Linked DNA regions of Rhinolophus ferrumequinum. The protein of the gene in region 2 binds, or shares a complex with, the protein of the main gene of each other region. Links are inferred from orthologs where the notes say so. Each region holds a gene or a part of one and is shown on either strand. Other genes may lie near its edges. The genes, in order: PSMB9 and PSME4.

Region 1 (8,795 bases), on a different chromosome or scaffold from region 2:
GCATCCTCATGTCAGAATACAGAAGCACCAATCTTCTCCTTGACACTGAGATAAGCAGGGGGTCTCCACACTCTGCAGTGAAGCCTCAGTATCTCATACCTCCATTGGTGGAGACTGTACTATGCCTAGAGAGGCAGTGTCTTTGGAACTCACTGCTAGAAGGACATGAGACCTTCACTTCCTCTCGAGGGGCGTGGGGAACCCCCAGGGAGGGAGTGCCTTGGGAGAGACTCACTTGGCCCCCTTCACGGTGGTCCCAGCCAGCTACCATGAGATGTGCAGACAGGTCCTCCCGATATTTATAGGTAATATTCCTCACCACATTTGCAGCAGCCAAAACAAGCGGAGGTTCATCCAGTTCCATCCTGAAGGAAATGTTAGGAATAGGGGTCAATGTAACTTCCTGAAGTTTCACCGTCCTGTGCCATTCCCGTCATCCCTGCCAAGTGACACCTGAAACCTATAGCTACAATAGGTCAAACTCCAGCTCCCCTCCCACGTGTGCAGGGGAACCTGAGTCTCACACTGCCAATTGATAAGAAGATCTCAATTTTCCCCTCCTTTACTCTGTCCAGCCCGCCACCCCCCAATCACATAACTCTCTTGGCTCCAAGGACCCTGCGCTTGTGGGTAAAAGCAGATAAACATTACTTCTCATACGGTAACCTGATATGTGGGCCACATTATCATTTCTTCCTCATTATTCATGTCAGGATAGTGATTTACAGTTTTCAAACTGCCTTCACCTATATCACTTGGTTCTTAAAATAACCATCTGGTGAGGGAGTATTATCCCCACTTTACAGATGTAGAAACCAGCTTGAGAGACTCAAGTGCCAGTTAAAAGCTAATAAAAGCAGGAGCCAAAACAAGAATTTTTCATTTTCCACTGCAGTGCTCCTGGAACAGGACACTATGGGGCTCCCTGGTTGGGGGAGCGCTAGCAGGTGTAGTGTGAGGACCCCAAAGCTTCATACCCATGGAGCTCCAGCTGGTAGGCAGCCATGTCGGCCACAGCCTGGGCGTCAGCAGCCGAACCGGAGAGAGCACAGTAGATGCGATGGTGTAGTGGGGACAGCTTGTCAAACACTCGGTTCACCACCGCCTCTCTGTCAGGGAGGGGTCGACAATCATCGGCGTTAGAATTGCAGGAAGATTGAGGTTAATTGTCTAATGTTCCTCATATTTATTTGACAAGAGAACGACCACGGAGTGCACGAAATGTAATGCTTGGATCAAAGCAGGGAGCAAAAAAATCATCTGAAGTAAATGAAACACTGCAAGTAATCAAAATTAGACTTATTTTTAGGCTCAGATTTTATAACAAAATAAAAAATATTAAGTTACGACTAATGTTCCTCATCAATTTTTCTTTGCTAGTAACCATCTTGAGGAAGTTATGTGTTCTAAACATAAAGTAAGTAATATTGATCTAATCCCATATAGTCATTTTACATGTTAGGAAACTGACCAGGAGGAAGACAAAATTAGTTCAATAGGTGATAGATGAGAAACCAGAATTTCATCTTGTCAGAACCATCTTTTCTGCCTCTAACTATAGAAGGAACGAGGGCCCCTCAAATCTCTCTCACTATCCCCTTCTCAGACCTTATTCCTTCCAGGGACAGGCCACGTAGCATTCAGGCCCTGTATGATCCTCCTTGAATTCAGAGACACAAGCACCCACTTAATAGCTTATTAGTAATCTTTCTGAAAGGTTAATTCCATTTCTCCAAAGCTCCAGTTCACCAGACTCTTAATGAATGGGTAAGGAAAAGGCATATTTGGGGCCCGTAGATTTCTTCCAAAGCTGGTACTTACCCTGCAGATACTCGGGAGTCAGAACCCACCACAACGCCCCCATCAAACTGTACTGCCATGATGGTTGTCTGCAGAGACACAGAGGATAGAATGTCGGAGCAAGAAAAGCCTTGATCCCTTCCTGTCACATTCCCAGAGGAAACCTTCCCAGAGAGGGGAGGGGACTGGCTCAAGGTCACACAGTAACTCAGGCCAGAGCTAACTCCAGTACAGGATTTTTTTCTCCATCTTCCCATTTTCTCTATTGTCTCTCCCGGCTCAAGGGAATGGCAGCCTGGCCATGGTACAACACAGGAAGAACTGCATCCCTAAGCCCCAAACTTCCAAAGTGGAATCTTTTCCTTTGTAAAGAGAGAGGTGGGGAGGAGGCTACTAGAGGCAGAAATTTGGCTTAGTGGGCTCTTCCAAGCTCCGGTGAGCCAGCCTCACAAGTAAATTATCTCCACCTCATGTGCTTGTATGGCAGATGTGGTACAGACTTGGCGAAGCAAGTTACCGTGACCTTGGGAAACAAGCGCAGGTCTTTTTTGGGGTCCAGAATCCTCCATCTACATCCTCCCCATCCCCCCCTTAATCAGAAGTGAGCTCTTTCAGTTTATTGAACCCTGGAAAATGTCGAGGGGGTCCATGGTCAGCAGGGTCACGTCTCAGGAAAGGAAGAAAGCAGCAAGGAGCATATGAGACAGTTTAAAACAAAGGTTTCAAGTAAGGATTTCTGATTAAGAGGCAAATAGATATCTCATTAGTCAGGGGAAGAAATCTGTACTGAGAGAGGATTTGATTTGAGAGTTTCAGCTGACTTTTTCAGGTCAAGAAAAGAAATTAAAGAAGAGTAAAGGAGGATAAAGCTACACTTTATCTAGTCCTGTTGAGTTGGAAAAGGGCATAAAGATCCTTCGTTCAAATGAGGAAACTGAGTCATAGAGAAGGCACGTGACTTATCCAATCACTCAGAATTAATAACAGACTCAGGTCTAAAACCCAGGTCCACTCTGTTTGGCTGCTACTTCCTACTTTCTGCTGCTCATCTGGCAGTGAGGAGAGAGATTTTCTAATTTATAAGTGGGATTATTACTCTCTTTCTCACCACTCCCCAAGTTACTCTGCCCCCCCCCCAGCCCTCCGGGCATATCGCCCGTGAGTCCTCTCTCACATACTGATTTACCATGAATAGAGGGCCAGAGAGCAGGGGCAACTCATCCTCGGGGCTATTCCTCTGTAATAAAGTACCCCCAAGCCAAGAATGGTAGCAATAGTCTGGGAGCAGAAGCCAGCCAGCGGTGGGCTGCCGTCTGCCCCAGGAGCCCAGCCTGGGCAAAGCCCCCCAGCACGTGCGTGGGAGTGGGGAGAGAAGGCACCGGGAAGGGAGCAGGCGGCACCTGGACCAAGCAGGTGCCCTCCTGGGCCAAGCTGGGGAAGGGCACCACGGGCTCCCATGGAAACCTCAGTATCAGTGCTGGGGCTGTAAGTTGCCCAGGTGCCAGTTTATCAAAGTTCTGTGTGATGAGTTGGCTCTTCTCAATCAGTGCCCATACCCCACCCCCCAAATGATGTCCTATTGCATCCAGAGCACCGTTTCCTTATCTCTTTGCTCCTTCTCCAGCCCCCTCCTGATTTAACCAGCCCCTCTCTCTAGTCCAGAGTGAAAGCGAAAGCGCTTTAGAGCAAGCAGCTTCCCCTTGACGCTTCCAGCTAAGAGCCAAAGCACCCCTTTCTCCACCAGCCTCGCGTGCCCAGGCCCTTTGCGGGCCCCAAGATGATCCCCTTCAGAACAGACGCCCTGGATTCACTGCAGGGTGCAAGCACTGGGTGCTACAAGGAACCTCCTCACTCTTAGTCTCCGTATTCACTCCTTGGCGCTTCCAGAATCCCCCTGTCGCCCCACTTCCTCCACCCCTCTGCTGACCCTCACGCCCAGACTCATTACCCCAGTGTGCACTTCTCCGGCCCGGGGTAAGTCCCCGGTTGGCGCTCCGATCCGCAGCATCTCGGCGCCGCGCTCCTCGCCGCCTGCGGCACTGGTTTCGGACTTGGGACAGCCAGCTGCGCGCACGCTACAGTCCCGCCCCCTCTCCTCGCCCGCCAGGGGGCGCCAGCGTCCTCTCCGTGAGGCTTAGCGCCCCGACGCTAACCTGTGTGGGGCAGATCTGCCCGGAGACAGGTGACTAAAGAGCCCCACTCTGAGGCTGGGGTAAAGAAGTCTTGACAAGTGGATCCTACTTGAGGTGGCAAGAAAAGGAGGACGGACGGGTGTGCGTGATGGAGAGGTGGAGCACCAAGGCAGCTCCCCAGAACCTCAGAACTGATTAAACGGCCACTCCCGACAGAGTGGGGCCGGCGCGTCGGCGAGTGGGAGGCTCTGGTTGGTGCCGCGGCGCTTTCGTTTTCCCTTTCCCCTAAACGGCTCGCTTCTAGCCAGCACCGCGGGCTCTGCCGGCTCCCGGGGCTTTCCGAGAGCGCCGCCCGCCCGCCCCCTCGCGCCCTGCCCGGCCGCTGGTCCCCGCGCGCTCGGGACAGACTCCCACAGCACCCAGAGCCTCGGGCCCAGCGGGGACCGCCGAGAGTCCCAGGCCCGGGCGCGACCCCCGCCCGCCCATGGCAAGCTCAGCGCCCCCCGCTCCGTGCGGGTGCCACTGCCTCTCCCGAGCTTTCCTCGCGTGGCTGGGGTCAACGCTGCTGCTTCTCGCCGACTGGGTGCTGCTCCGGCCGGCGCTGCCCGGAATGTCATCCCTGCTGGTGCCCGCCGCGCTGCCGTTGCTCAGGGTCTGGGTAGTAGGCCTGAGCCGCTGGGCAGTGCTGTGGCTGGGGGCCCGTGGGGTCCTCAGGGCAACAGTTGGCACCAAGAGTGAAAGCAAAGAAGTCCAGGGATGGCTGGCTGCTTTGGAGCCACTGGCGGCGGCGCTGGGCTTGGCTCTGCCAGGACTTGCCTTGTTCCGAGAGCTGGGCTCGTGGGGGTTCTCCACGGACAATGACAGCACCAGGCTACTACACTGGGGAAGTCGCCTGGACGCCTTCGTCCTCAGCTACGCAGCGGCACTGCCCGCAGCCGCCCTGTGGCATAAGCTCCGGAGCCTTTGGATGCTGGGAGGTCACAGGGGTTCTGGAGACGCGGTGCGTCGGCTTCTAGGCTGCCTGGGCTCAGAGATACGTCGCCTCCCGTTCATTCTGGTCCTGTTGGTCCTCTCCTGCCTTGGTAAGGGGGTTCAGGGCCAGAGGGATGGACGCTGGGGAACTGGGCAGGAATCAAGAGTAATGATCCGTGAGATAGGTTACCGAGCTCTGGGAAATGTGGGTCAGAGAAAGGGGACTCAGCTCGGGTCTTGAGGAGACCACTCCTGGACGGGGTGGGAAACGGAGACCTGGACTCCAGTGCTGCCCCAGGCGTCACTTCACTAGGCCTCCTGGGGTAGGCAAGTCCTTTCCGCTGAGGCAGTATTTTTCATACAAGGGTATCTTAAGATACTCCATGATCTCTAGGCTTCCTAATTAAACTCCTCAAGGTCTGGTGGGGCCGCAGAGCTTTAAAGTTCCAAGCCGGCCTGCTCAGGTGCTGGGTTGTGTTCTGTGAGGACTTTCTGCCGCTGCCCTCCAGGATACTGGCGGGGGCGGTCTGGTTGGGGCTGGCCTGTTTAGACTTGATATCTGTGACTGACTCATCTCTTCTGTCCCATCGCAGGTGAGATGGCCATTCCCTTCTTCACCGGCCGCCTTACTGACTGGATTCTCCAAGATGAGGCAGCAGCTGCCTTCACCCGAAACATAACTCTCATGTGCATTCTCACCATAGCCAGGTCTGGGGGCTGAAGGTGGAAGGCTGAGAACAGGCGGTGGTGGGGGGTCGGGGGGCTGCAAAAGAGGGAGGTGGAAATGGAGGCTGCCGTCTAAAGTGCAGGGACCTGCTCTGTCCCCTGAGCACACATTGACCCTTGACCCTCTGTCTCTGTCTGTCTCCAGTGCAGTGCTTGAGTTCATGGCTGATGGGATCTATAACTGCACCATGGGCCGCGTGCACAGTCACCTGCAGGGAGAGGTGTTTCGGGCTGTCCTGCGCCAGGAAACAGAGTTTTTCCAACAGAACCAAACAGGTTTCTCATGAAACTCTTCCATTGTACATCCATATGCTATTTATATTCCCTGAGATCCCCTTGTACTTATAACTTTGATATCTCCCTCTTTCTTTCTCTCGCATAGACATTGTCATTTCTTATTTTTGGTATGCCTCAAGAGCAAAATATTGTACTCTTTACCTTCAGAAAAGCCTAGTTTTTCCAGCCAAGGTTTTTTCATAAATTTATCTCTATTTATGTATTTAGATGGAAACTATAACATTGCAAACCTGGACATTTTGATATCAGAGTCCAACTGCCTCATTTTACAGAGAAGGAAACAGGCCTAACCTCTTAAGTGCTGACACTTGCATGGTCACGTATGGATAGAGACGAACTTGAGGACAGAACCCATCTCTTGATTCCCAAAGCTTCCTGGACTGCTTTCTAGCAGCACCCTCCATTTTCCTCCAGCTGTGATATAACCAGCCTAAGCTCTTCCTGCCTATGTGTACAGCGTGGCGTATGCAAGTTCTTTAAGCAACAGAAATATGGGAATTTATATGGGCGTCAATTTCTTTACAATTAAAATGAAGGCTTTTGGCCAGACTTTCCCTGTCTAACATACTCTCCCTGCATTGAGACCCCCAAACTTCCCTGTACCCCGACTTGTTTTTCCCAGCCTCCTTAGAACACCATGTTGACACCCCTCCCCCTGGACCCCGGCTCACTACTGGTCCCTCCCATCACTCTGAGCCTGTCATTCACTCCTCTCTCTTTTCCCCAACCCCTGCCAGGTGCCATCACATCTCGAGTAACAGAGGACACGTCCACCTTGAGTGAGTCTCTGAGTGAGGAGCTGAGCCTATTGCTGTGGTACCTGGTGCGGGGGCTGTGTCTCTTGGGGCTCATGCTCTGGGGGTCACTGTCCCTCACCATGGTCACCCTCATCTCCCTGCCTCTGCTTTTCCTTCTGCCTAAGAAGCTGGGAAAATGGTACCAGGTATGTCCAAGGAGTTGCCTCAACCTACACAGACACTCATCTCCCTCACCTGGAGGACCCAGTTCCTCTTCGCTTTCTTTTCTGCACCCTGGCTGATTCTCCATGTTCCCGGGACTCCCCACTCCTGTAGTCCGTGTTCCCACATTGCTCACTGTTAGTCTTCATGGTCTCTGTGTGTTCTTTTCTAACTTCTGCCCACAGTCTGTCTTTAAGACTACGATCACCAATCTCAAGAATATGATCCCATCACGCTTCTGAGTCATTTTCCTCTCCTCTGGATCTCTTTAGGATCCCAGGGATATAGCCAAGTCCCTTTCTCTTCTCTCCTGTCCCTCTGTCTCTTCTCACCTTTTATCTCCAACCAGGTAACTCAGGTACTAGTGTCCCTTATGGTTTGCCAACCCTGGCTTGGACATGTCTCCACAGGTGCTGGCAGTACAGGTGCGGGAATCTCTGGCAAAGTCCAGCCAGGTGGCCATTGAAGTCCTGTCAGCTATGCCTACAGTCCGGAGCTTTGCCAACGAGGAGGCTGAGGCCCAGAAGTTTAGGCAAAAGCTGCAGGAAATGGAGACACTCAACCAGAAGGAGGCCCTGGCCTATGCAGTCAACCTCTGGACCACTAGTGTGAGAACCTGGAGATGAAGGCCTGCTCCCTTTCCCCCAACATACCTTGACTCCATTCCCTTTCCCGTGACCCGGCTCCACACTCCTCCTCCACTGGGCAATGGGGGTTTCAGTGTTCTCATCCTAGCAACCTGAGGCTCAGTTACCCTACTCAGGCTTCCTGACCCACTCCCTCCTTTTAGGCAAGCACCTAGCAGATGGCTTTCTTTCTCTGTGGCACACAAAATCTGCCCAACCCCCTTTTGAGGAAGATTCCATGCCTTCTAGAGCCTCCTTTGCTTCTCAGAGGGTGCTCAGGGAGCCAGAAATTCCTGCACCTGGGCTAGCTTCATGCTGGGACTGTGTGATGTGCTAGTGAGAGCCACGGGAATAGCAGAAGCCAAAGATGGGGGCACCTGTGGCGTCTTTAGAGGCCTAGACCAGCAAGCAGAAGCTCCTGGCTTGGTGCTGCCATTTACTAGCTCTGTGACCGTGGCCTCGTAACTTACCTTCTCTGAGACTGTTCCCTCATTTTTAACAAGTGGGAGTGATATAACCTGGTTTACAGAGCTCTTGATATGAATATTAGCTTACATTATATTCACGTAAGCCTTCTGTGACGAGCAAGACGCTCCCCAAACAAGCCAATAATGGTGATGATGATGGTGACTCTGTCACGTGTCACTGAGTAAGAGCACGGCATCTCTATGGTTCATTCTCCCTTTCTACTTACGGAGCGTCCTGCTGTTACATGGGGAAAGGGACTTTATATCTCATTAACGCTAAGGATTCTGGTTCTTTGTGCCCCGCTGTTAGATTTCTACCACAACCCCTTTTCTCCGTGATCTCTCCACAGATCTCAGGGATGCTGCTGAAGGTGGGAATCCTATACATTGGTGGGCAGCTGGTGACCAATGGGGCTGTCAGCAGTGGGAACCTTGTCACGTTTGTTCTCTACCAGATCCAGTTCACCACAGCTGTTGAGGTGAGGCCCTCCCAGTTGCACTCCCCAATGGTCTTCCTTGCCCCATCCCTCTGTGTCACCCTCTGTGTCACTCTCCTCCCATTCTTTACCCTTCTCCCATCACATAGCCCTGGCAAACAGATTTGGACCCCACCTCACTATGCATACCTCCCCTCCAGGTACTACTCTCCAGCTATCCCAGGGTGCAGAAGGCTGTGGGCTCCTCAGAGAAAATATTTGAGTATCTGGACCGGATCCCTTGCTGCCCAGCCAGTGGTGTGTTGACTTCTTCAAAGCTGGAGGGCGTCGTTCAGTTCCAAGATGTCTCCTTTGCCTACCCAAACCATCCAGATGTCCT
Region 2 (8,314 bases):
TCCAACTTCTATCCTGGAAAGCTACATACTGCTCTTGATAATAAACAAGATAGCTAGTTTCAGTTGCAAATGAAATGATTCCTCAGTATAATAGTCATTTCATTACAAAACAGCACAGACTATAACATTGTAACAAACAGAGGACCTAAATCTGCTTCATAATACACCAAGCCCACACACTTCACTAAAATCAAATTTCTGTTGGAAAAAAAAAAAGACAAAAGAAAAGATCATGAATGGAGTAAGCCTGTAGGAAATAGTAGGCCCATTCACTTGCTGCCCCTCCTTCCTCCAGACCAATTTCAAGGAACACAAGCTAGCTAGAAAGACCCTTAGGACTAGTCCAGTGAAGTTTTTCAAACAATATGTGTTGGAGCCCTGAGCAGGCTTCAGGAGGTTCTATTATCAATGAAGTGTTACAAAGAAAAAATAATCAGTGCAGTTTTAGTCTACTTAAGGAATCCAATTTTGTGTTTAAGATTTTGCTTTCATGAAACGGTCCACTGCTAAGTTTTGAGTTTGAAAAAACACTAATAATTTACACTCCCATTTTCCTAAAGCTAAGAGAGTTTAAGGAAAACCAAGACAATAATGTTGGTGGCAAAGCCAGGTACAGATAAACTAAGGTCTTAGGACTAGACCTCACTGCCTTCATGAAAGGTACAGAAGAAAGGCAAGGCAGAAAAAGCAATTTTTCAAGACTACCTTTCTTCAACTCCCTTTATTCTCTACCTGGGCCATTCCAGTTGCCAATACCTTTCACTTACTGTCTACCAGCTATCTTTACTGCTGTTTTCCAAAGACCACTAGTAGTTTGTGTCTATCTTCTCTAATTTGTTTCCTTGCTTCTTAGAAAATGGCCCTGTGGATGAGTTATGTTACACAATCTCTTTTGAAGAGGAAGTGCTAATACTTTAAACTGTCTGTACAAGAGAATTTGTGTTATTTCACAGGACCAATTTTTAAAACACCCAGAAATAACCTTTCTTCACAGAGATGCGAAACAGACCCACAAGTCTCAAAGTGGATTGAAACAGAATTATGACATCTACAAAACTGTGGTAAAACGTTAAAAAGAGGGAGGCTGAGTGTCTTCGAAAGAACTCTACCTCCACCCAGATCTGTGACGCTCAGATTAGGGGTGTACACTTCTGGTCGGGGATCCAGTCCCAGCGACTTTGAAGAGCATGTACACTCTGGTCTTCTTTAGGAATGTACTGTGTACTTTACAAACTGCTCACAGTCCTCGGAGAAAAATACACACTGGTTTATTTGAGGCTCTACAGGATAAAAAATAAAATCATAAAATACCACCGCAGGACTGTTTCTCAGGAATTATTCAGTCCAACCTCCTCATTTCTCTCCCAAGAATATTGAAAAACATGATTAAAGTAACTTTCCACAGTCACAGAACTAGTGGGAGAAATTAGATTTTATTTTCATTACTACTTTCCATTCTTCTACAAAGTACTAAAATATAATCACTACTCAAGTAATTCACAGCTATCATCACATGTTCTGGCATCATTTAGATGTACACTTGTGCAATGCACACAAGACTTAATAAACAAGCACAACTATAAACAGGTCACCTTAACATGACTTAGGAGGAAAAATAACACCCAAGATCACAACATGTCCCACCGGGTTCAAATTGTCTCATAGGGCAATCCCAAAAATCAGTTTGAAGCACTTAACCACTGTTCCAAAATAAAATTCTATCTGACAGCATTTCTTGCTGGTTATTTAGAAATAAAATGGCTTTAAGTTCACAATATTAAGCCACAAAACTGCAATCTTGCCCTAAACACCAAGGGTTGTCTCTATTGTATTTTTTGCCCTATCTAGGTTTTCACTTAATAAGCCAAAAATAATAAAACCCTAAGTGATAATTTGCCAAGCTTAGTAATAATGTCAGAAAACAATACTTAACTATGCCTGTGTAGATTCTAGATTCATTAATCCAAATCAGACATGCATTCACAATTGGTATATTTATATATTACACATCTAAAAGGAGCTGTTTGTGTCCCCCTAAATGGTTATTCTCTGGCAAATCCAATACAAGTGATTAAAATGGGGAATTGCTGGAACTGGCAAAGTAACTTTATTTTTACTATGCCTGAGTAATCGAAACACCCAGGAAGGTGCACTTGAAAAATCATGTGAATTTTAATTATTTATAAAACATTCTCTGTTTTGACTAATAGTGGTTCTTCTCCCTGTTGCATTTCTTTTTTCCCATGTCTCCTGCGGATCTGAACACCACAAACTTCACTCTCCAACCAAGAGGAGAGATGTTAACCTTGACATTTTATGGTCACTCTTTGAAAAGGGTAAATAAACTGTTTTAGTTTTGCTTTTTAATTAAAGGGATAATTGTTCCCACCACCACCGCCAAGTGAAGATGAGAAATTAATCAGAGGCTCCCTAATAATAGACATATAAGAATCATCCTGTGAGGAAATGTAGAGAAGACTATTGCATTACAAAACCCTGAGTCATCACCCAGTTCACTCAGCAGATTTGGGTAAACACTGGATAGGTGACATGTCTTAAGTATTCATCCATCCATACCCCTATGCATGAACATACAATGTTAACATTTTATGTAATGAGCCAAACAAGACAAGCAAAATTTTTTTAAAAAAGTTTTTCTGACACAGGGAAGATGTCCATCTAGCAAATAAAATCTCTAACCTTCCCCCCACAACTGTATTTTACTCATTTCTCCAATTATAGTTCGCAGCTAAAAAAATAAAAGAACAGAACTCCTGAAACTGATTTAGGTAATCGACAGTTATATCTCAGCAACTCAAAAAAGTAACAAACCCAATACTAATAACTAATAACGCCCAGGACAACCTGACAGTTCTCCTCTCCTTTCCGTAGTATTGTACATTTCCAAACAGAAGTAATATACACTTTCCCCGTTCTAAGACTCAACCTTCTCAACATTACTGTCTAGTATGCAGCCTAAGTGTGCGCTGAGGGCTGATTTTAAAGCAATCTTTTCAATCAAATCCACAAAGACCGAGCAGGCCCAAAAATGTAGAACCTGCAAGCTCCCTACGGCCTCCTTCCCATTCAGAAAAAGTTACTAGACGCGAATTGAGGGCTATTTAGAGTCGGGGATCGTATGGGGAAGAAAGAACTGGAGGAACTAGGAGAAATCAAGAGTTGCTCCGCCGAAATCGAATCCTTTCTGCTCCCCTTCCTGCAGGGGCAAAGATCCAAGAAGGACCCTTGGGGGACTGCACATGTCTCTCCCTCGGGGCCCCGCAGGTCGGAAGACAACAACCCAAACCCCTGGGGAAAAGCACCAACGGCGGACGTAGAGGACTAGAAGGACCGAGGAGGTCCCGTAGGAAAGAGGCTGGGAGGAGGCTTGAGTGCTTCCGAAGCTTCTGTTGCGACCCTGGGACTACTGCACCGGCTCGATACGGTCAGAGTTGAGGGTCCAGCCATCAGGGGCGGACAAAGAGCCGCCCCCGCCCCCGAACGCCGTTCCTTTGAGCCTTTGCCCCAGACCCATCCTGCAGGCCCGGTCACACTTACGTGGAGAGTTTCCTGGTCCAGAAGAGGCCCCCGGGCCACAGCTCCTGGAGCTGCACGGCCCGGCCCAGGTTGCGTTTGATCTGGGCCAGCTGCAGGTCGGACTCGGCGTCCAGCCGCTCGGCGTAGGGCAGCAGCTTGTTGTAGACAATCTCCTTCTGCGGGACGAAGGCCCGCGGGCCCGGCCCGGGACACCCGCCTGGCTCCGGGGGATCCCCGCCACCCGCCCGCTCGGCCGGCTCCATGAGCCCAGGGACACCCCTCCACCCCCTCCCACCCTAACCCTCCCCGGCCCCCACCCCTCTCCGGGCTCCGCCTCCTCTGCGTCGTCGTCGCCCTGAGGCCGCCGGCGGCCCGTCGCCCTCGGCCCGACAGCTGGGCCCCCTCCCCTGGCCGGCTCGCTCTTAGTCCCGCGCGATCCCCAATTCGTTAGCGGCGGCAGCGGCCGCTCCGCCTGCCCCGCACCGGCTCGCCTGATGACGCTGCAGCCGCCGGGCCCGGAGGTTCCGGACGGGCCTCAAGTCACTTCCGGGGCGGGGCGGGGCGGGGCGCGGCGACGGCGTCGGAGGAGGTGGTGGCGGCGGGGGCGGGAGCCCCGGGGGCCGCGCCTTCGTCGCCGTGGGCCGGGCTCGGAGCCCCCACCCTCGGGCCTGAGCGGCCGAACGCGAGGCTGCCCCGCCGGAAACACGAGGCCGAATTCCAAGCTATTGTCCTTCCTGGGCCGGTGTTGGGCGCTCCTGGCGAATGCCTCTCGAGAGCCCTTAGTCGCCGTTGCCTCCGGCACGGCAGTTGGCCTAGTTCCCCACACCGCGTGTATGGAAAAACCTAGGGACCCGGTATCCATCCCTCTTGTTATAGATTTTTTTTTTTTTTCACTACTCTGTCCCTTTTAAGCCCTCATCTTTCTGGTATTCTCCTGGCTGCCCTCATTCCAAAGAAGGAAATAGTTATTCTTTCAACAAATATTAATTGTACCACTATTTTGTGTGTCAGACTCCTTCTTTGCACTTGAGATGGAAAGTTAAAGAGCACCAAGTTTCTGCCCTCCGGGCATTTACAGTCAGAGCTGTAGACTAGGGAATAGGCAATTACAAAACAACACTCTTTAATTGCTAGATAAGTACAGGACGCCTTGGGAATAGCTAAAGAGTTCAAACTGGAGGGGTGTCAAGTGGTTTCCTAGAAGTGATACGTAAATTGAGTTTAAAGGCTTAAGTGCTGAATTGATTAGAAAAAGAAGAGAAGAGAAAGTACATTTCACCTGAGGGAACAGCACAGAGACTGCAAGCATGCACCCTAGAAGTTCAAAAAGTTAAGGATGGCTGAAGATGGTTTGCAAGAGAGGGGAGTGGAGAATTGAGACAGAAGGAAGTGTTAGGATGTTTTCAGAGTTTTATCTTAAAAGCAACAAGAAACTCCGAAAGATTTTAAGCGTAAGAGTGGCATGATATAATTTACATTTTTGAAGAACCACTCTGGCTTTGTGGTTCTAATCCATTTCTAAAAATGGATTGGAACAGACAATACTGGACAATACAGGACCCCTTAAGGAAATGTGACATAACAATGGTCTAGATGTCAGTTGAAATGATTGAGAGCTATTTAAGCAAGAAGAATGGCCTGAGCTTAATACTAAAAGTGAAAGAGAGGGAAGAGACAGGATGATGTCAGATTTCTGGTTTGGGAAGCTGGGTAAATAGTGGAAACTTTTCTGACTTGAGAACATAGCAGAAACAGCTTTAAAGGCAGAATGCCTAAGGGGTAGGTAAGTATTACTATTTTGATGTATGGATGAGGAAGGATGATCTCAATGGGGATATGGATTAACCTATATGTGGATCGGAGGGAATGAGATGCAGAGTATTGTTAACAAATAAACTAAGGCATATTAAAATTTTGAAGAGTTTATTGGAGCAAAAATCTGTTCCAATTGGGCAGCACCAAACCTGGAATGGTTAAGAGTGTTCCACTGACTGGAGCCAGAAGAAAGACTTTTACTATAGAGAAGGTGTGAAAGCAAAGAAAGAAACTGTTTGATTGGCTGTAGCTTCAAGCCTAGTTGACTACTTGTGATTGCTTGTCCTTAGCGGTTAGATTTCATAACCTTGAGGTATTTACACTTAAATTTTGATTTGCTGAAGTAGGCTGCCAAGGCATTAGCTACCACCTCAGACTAAGGGTCTCCTGTTTAATTAATTTAACGATATGAAAAAAATAGGGCCCTTGACCAAACTCTGAGGAACCCCATATTTGAAGCTGGACAGAGAAAGAGGAGAGAGACCAAAGAACACTCACAAGAAGCAGTCAGAGAGGTCGGAGGCATTCTAGGAAAGTGGGCATTCCTAAAAACTGTTTCAGGTGGAGGACGTGATCAACTACACAGAAGGTGGCTGACAGGTCAACTGAGACCTGAGAAGGGATCCTTGCAGTGACTGATAAAGCAGATAAGAACAGTTTCAGTGGAATGTGGGAGTGGAAACCAGATTACAGTGACAGAGGACAAACAGGAAATAGAGGCAGCAAATGTGAACTACCTTTTCATAAAATTTTGTGTGGGAAGAACAGGAGAGAGAAGGAGGTAGCTGGAATAAAAAGGAATTTTTGAGCAAGGGATATATTTAAATTTGTTTAAATATTGATGAGAAGGAGCCAATGGAGAGAGAGTTTGAAGATATGAGTGTGTGGGTGAGGATGACAGAGAGTGGAAGAGAAGGCGGAGTCATTGGTCCTTAGAAGTAAACAAGGTTGCTCCCATTGTCAGAGGGAAAAAGTAGGGGGATAGATGCAAATGTAGAAAGGTTTTGTAGATTTGTTGGCCAGAAGTTGGAGAAGTTCTTTTTGATGATTACTGTTTTTGTTTTTCTCTGAATGAAGAGAATGAGAATGATGGGAGGAAGGGATGGGTAGAAGATTTGAGGAGATTGGAAAAGGTTTAGAGTGGTCTCAAAATTCAGAAAACTGATTAGAGAAATAGTAGAATTGCTTGACAGTGCTGGAAGCATGAATTCACTATCGTCTCTCTGCACAATTGAGTGATTTTTTTCCTCCAATAATGTTTAGCAGCCCAGGAATGTATACATACAAGCTGGTATGATAGAATGACAAAGGAGCAAGGGAAGGGTCTGTATGATGGCAGTGGTGATGGTAGTGGTGTTAGCTACCATTTGCTGAGCACTTCTCTCAGCCGGTGCTTTACCTACATTACCTCATTGAATTTTCTTCTCTAAATATCGATCATTGAGTTGAGAATGTTTGAAAGAGTGCCTAAGTTGGTTGAAATTGTAGGGGAAGAAAATAAGTTTCTTCCTACTCTTCTAAGTTCTTCTGGCTGGTCTAATAATCAAGTTGAAGAGACAGATTAACAGGAGAAAATAACTAAATCTATTAAGTATGTACATACAGAGTTCCATAAGAACATGAGACCCAAGGACAAATCTGACAGTTGAGGTTTATATGCCATTTTGGACTAAGGTGAAGGGGTACGGTTGTGGGGGGGGCGTGGCTTGTGGGAGGGGGGAGTTGTAGTTCGGGGCTTCAAAGGCAAAAAAGGCAACTCACATGGAGATGGGAAAGCAAATGTTTGGTAAACAGATGTTTGTTGGCCCATTTTAACGATAAACCACAAAGAAGACTTTGATCAAAGGCTTTGGTAGTTTTTTTCCTGTTTATCACAGTTAATTCATATTAAACTGTAGTTATCTGTAATAATAGCTCCCTTACTGGAGCAGGTTCTCCCTCTATCTAAAATTTTTTAGGCAGTTAGGGGGAAGGTCAAAGGTTCTCCTGGAGTCTTTTGTTTCTTAAACGATAACCAGCTTAAAATAATCAACATCCCAACAAGGCATATTTTGGTGTGGCAAACTCTGCTCCCCTTAAAGTCAAAGTGAAGACAGAAGAGGACCTACAAGCAGAGAACAGAGAGATCAAGGGACTCCGATCCTGAAGTGGCGCAGCACGATATGACTGGATTAGCCTGGGCAAGGGGTCTGGAAGAACTGAAATGTTGGATTTACAGCTTCAAAGAAGCAGTTCCAGGTGATGTCAAGTTTCCTGGGAGTGGATTTCTGAACTGGAAAAGTCAAAAGAATTGTTGGAGCAAAAGAGATAAAGTCTTTCTGTTATTTTATGTGAAGTTTAGTAGAAAACACTATTAAAACCCCGTTAGGTGAGAAAGTTGGTAGACTTTAAGTTGTTCAGGGATACGCAGGCTACTCATCCCTGAAGACAGTTAACCCAAAGTCTGGGTCAGTTTTCTCCTCACAACAACTCCCAAGCATTTTTTTTTTTTTTAAATCTCTTAGAACTCAGGATACTCTGCCAAAGGATATTAACGCACATTATCCTTTTAGTCAGACCCCGAGGGAGACATTGGCTTCTTATTAGGCTCTTGGAGGAAGCGAACTGTAATCATCCTTTTTGGAAGACCCTGAAAGTACAATAGCCCTTCATGGAAAATATTCTAAAGAGAGAGATTTCTTCTCAAGCTGGAAGAATTGGCAGGGATAATTATCAATCAAATATTTATGTCTTTGATATACTTATTGGCCCACTACTTGGTAATCCACTTATTAGCAGTGAACAAAAGTGACAGTTTCCTGCCTTCTCCTGCCTTAGTTTTTCTATATGTGATGCATTTGGGACTGGGGCTGTTTTGACAAGTGTATGAATCTCTGTTGCCAGAGCATAATCTTTAAAAATATTTAAAAGCATAATCTTTAAAAATTAGTCATCTAATGTAATCAAGTATCCAGACTCTTGC

The links.
Region 1: PSME4 (region 2) and PSMB9 share a complex: the UniProt entries of both Homo sapiens proteins name them as parts of the spermatoproteasome. The link is inferred for Rhinolophus ferrumequinum from reciprocal best matches to the Homo sapiens genes PSME4 and PSMB9.

The regions. Positions count from the first base shown.
Region 1 is NC_046286.1:3,315,763-3,324,557, reverse strand, and holds the start of PSMB9 (proteasome subunit beta type-9), read right to left. Parts: upstream 3,949-8,795; 5' UTR 3,809-3,948; coding exon 3,749-3,808; intron 1,890-3,748; coding exon 1,822-1,889; intron 1,110-1,821; coding exon 978-1,109; intron 366-977; coding exon 236-365; intron 1-235. Other genes in the region: TAP1 (antigen peptide transporter 1), read left to right, coding at 4,417-5,014, 5,498-5,612, 5,776-5,906, 6,665-6,870, 7,297-7,494, 8,330-8,458, 8,617-8,795. UniProt on the Homo sapiens protein: The proteasome is a multicatalytic proteinase complex which is characterized by its ability to cleave peptides with Arg, Phe, Tyr, Leu, and Glu adjacent to the leaving group at neutral or slightly basic pH.
Region 2 is NC_046296.1:33,424,702-33,433,015, reverse strand, and holds the start of PSME4 (proteasome activator complex subunit 4), read right to left. Parts: upstream 3,824-8,314; 5' UTR 3,801-3,823; coding exon 3,559-3,800; intron 1-3,558. UniProt on the Homo sapiens protein: Associated component of the proteasome that specifically recognizes acetylated histones and promotes ATP- and ubiquitin-independent degradation of core histones during spermatogenesis and DNA damage response.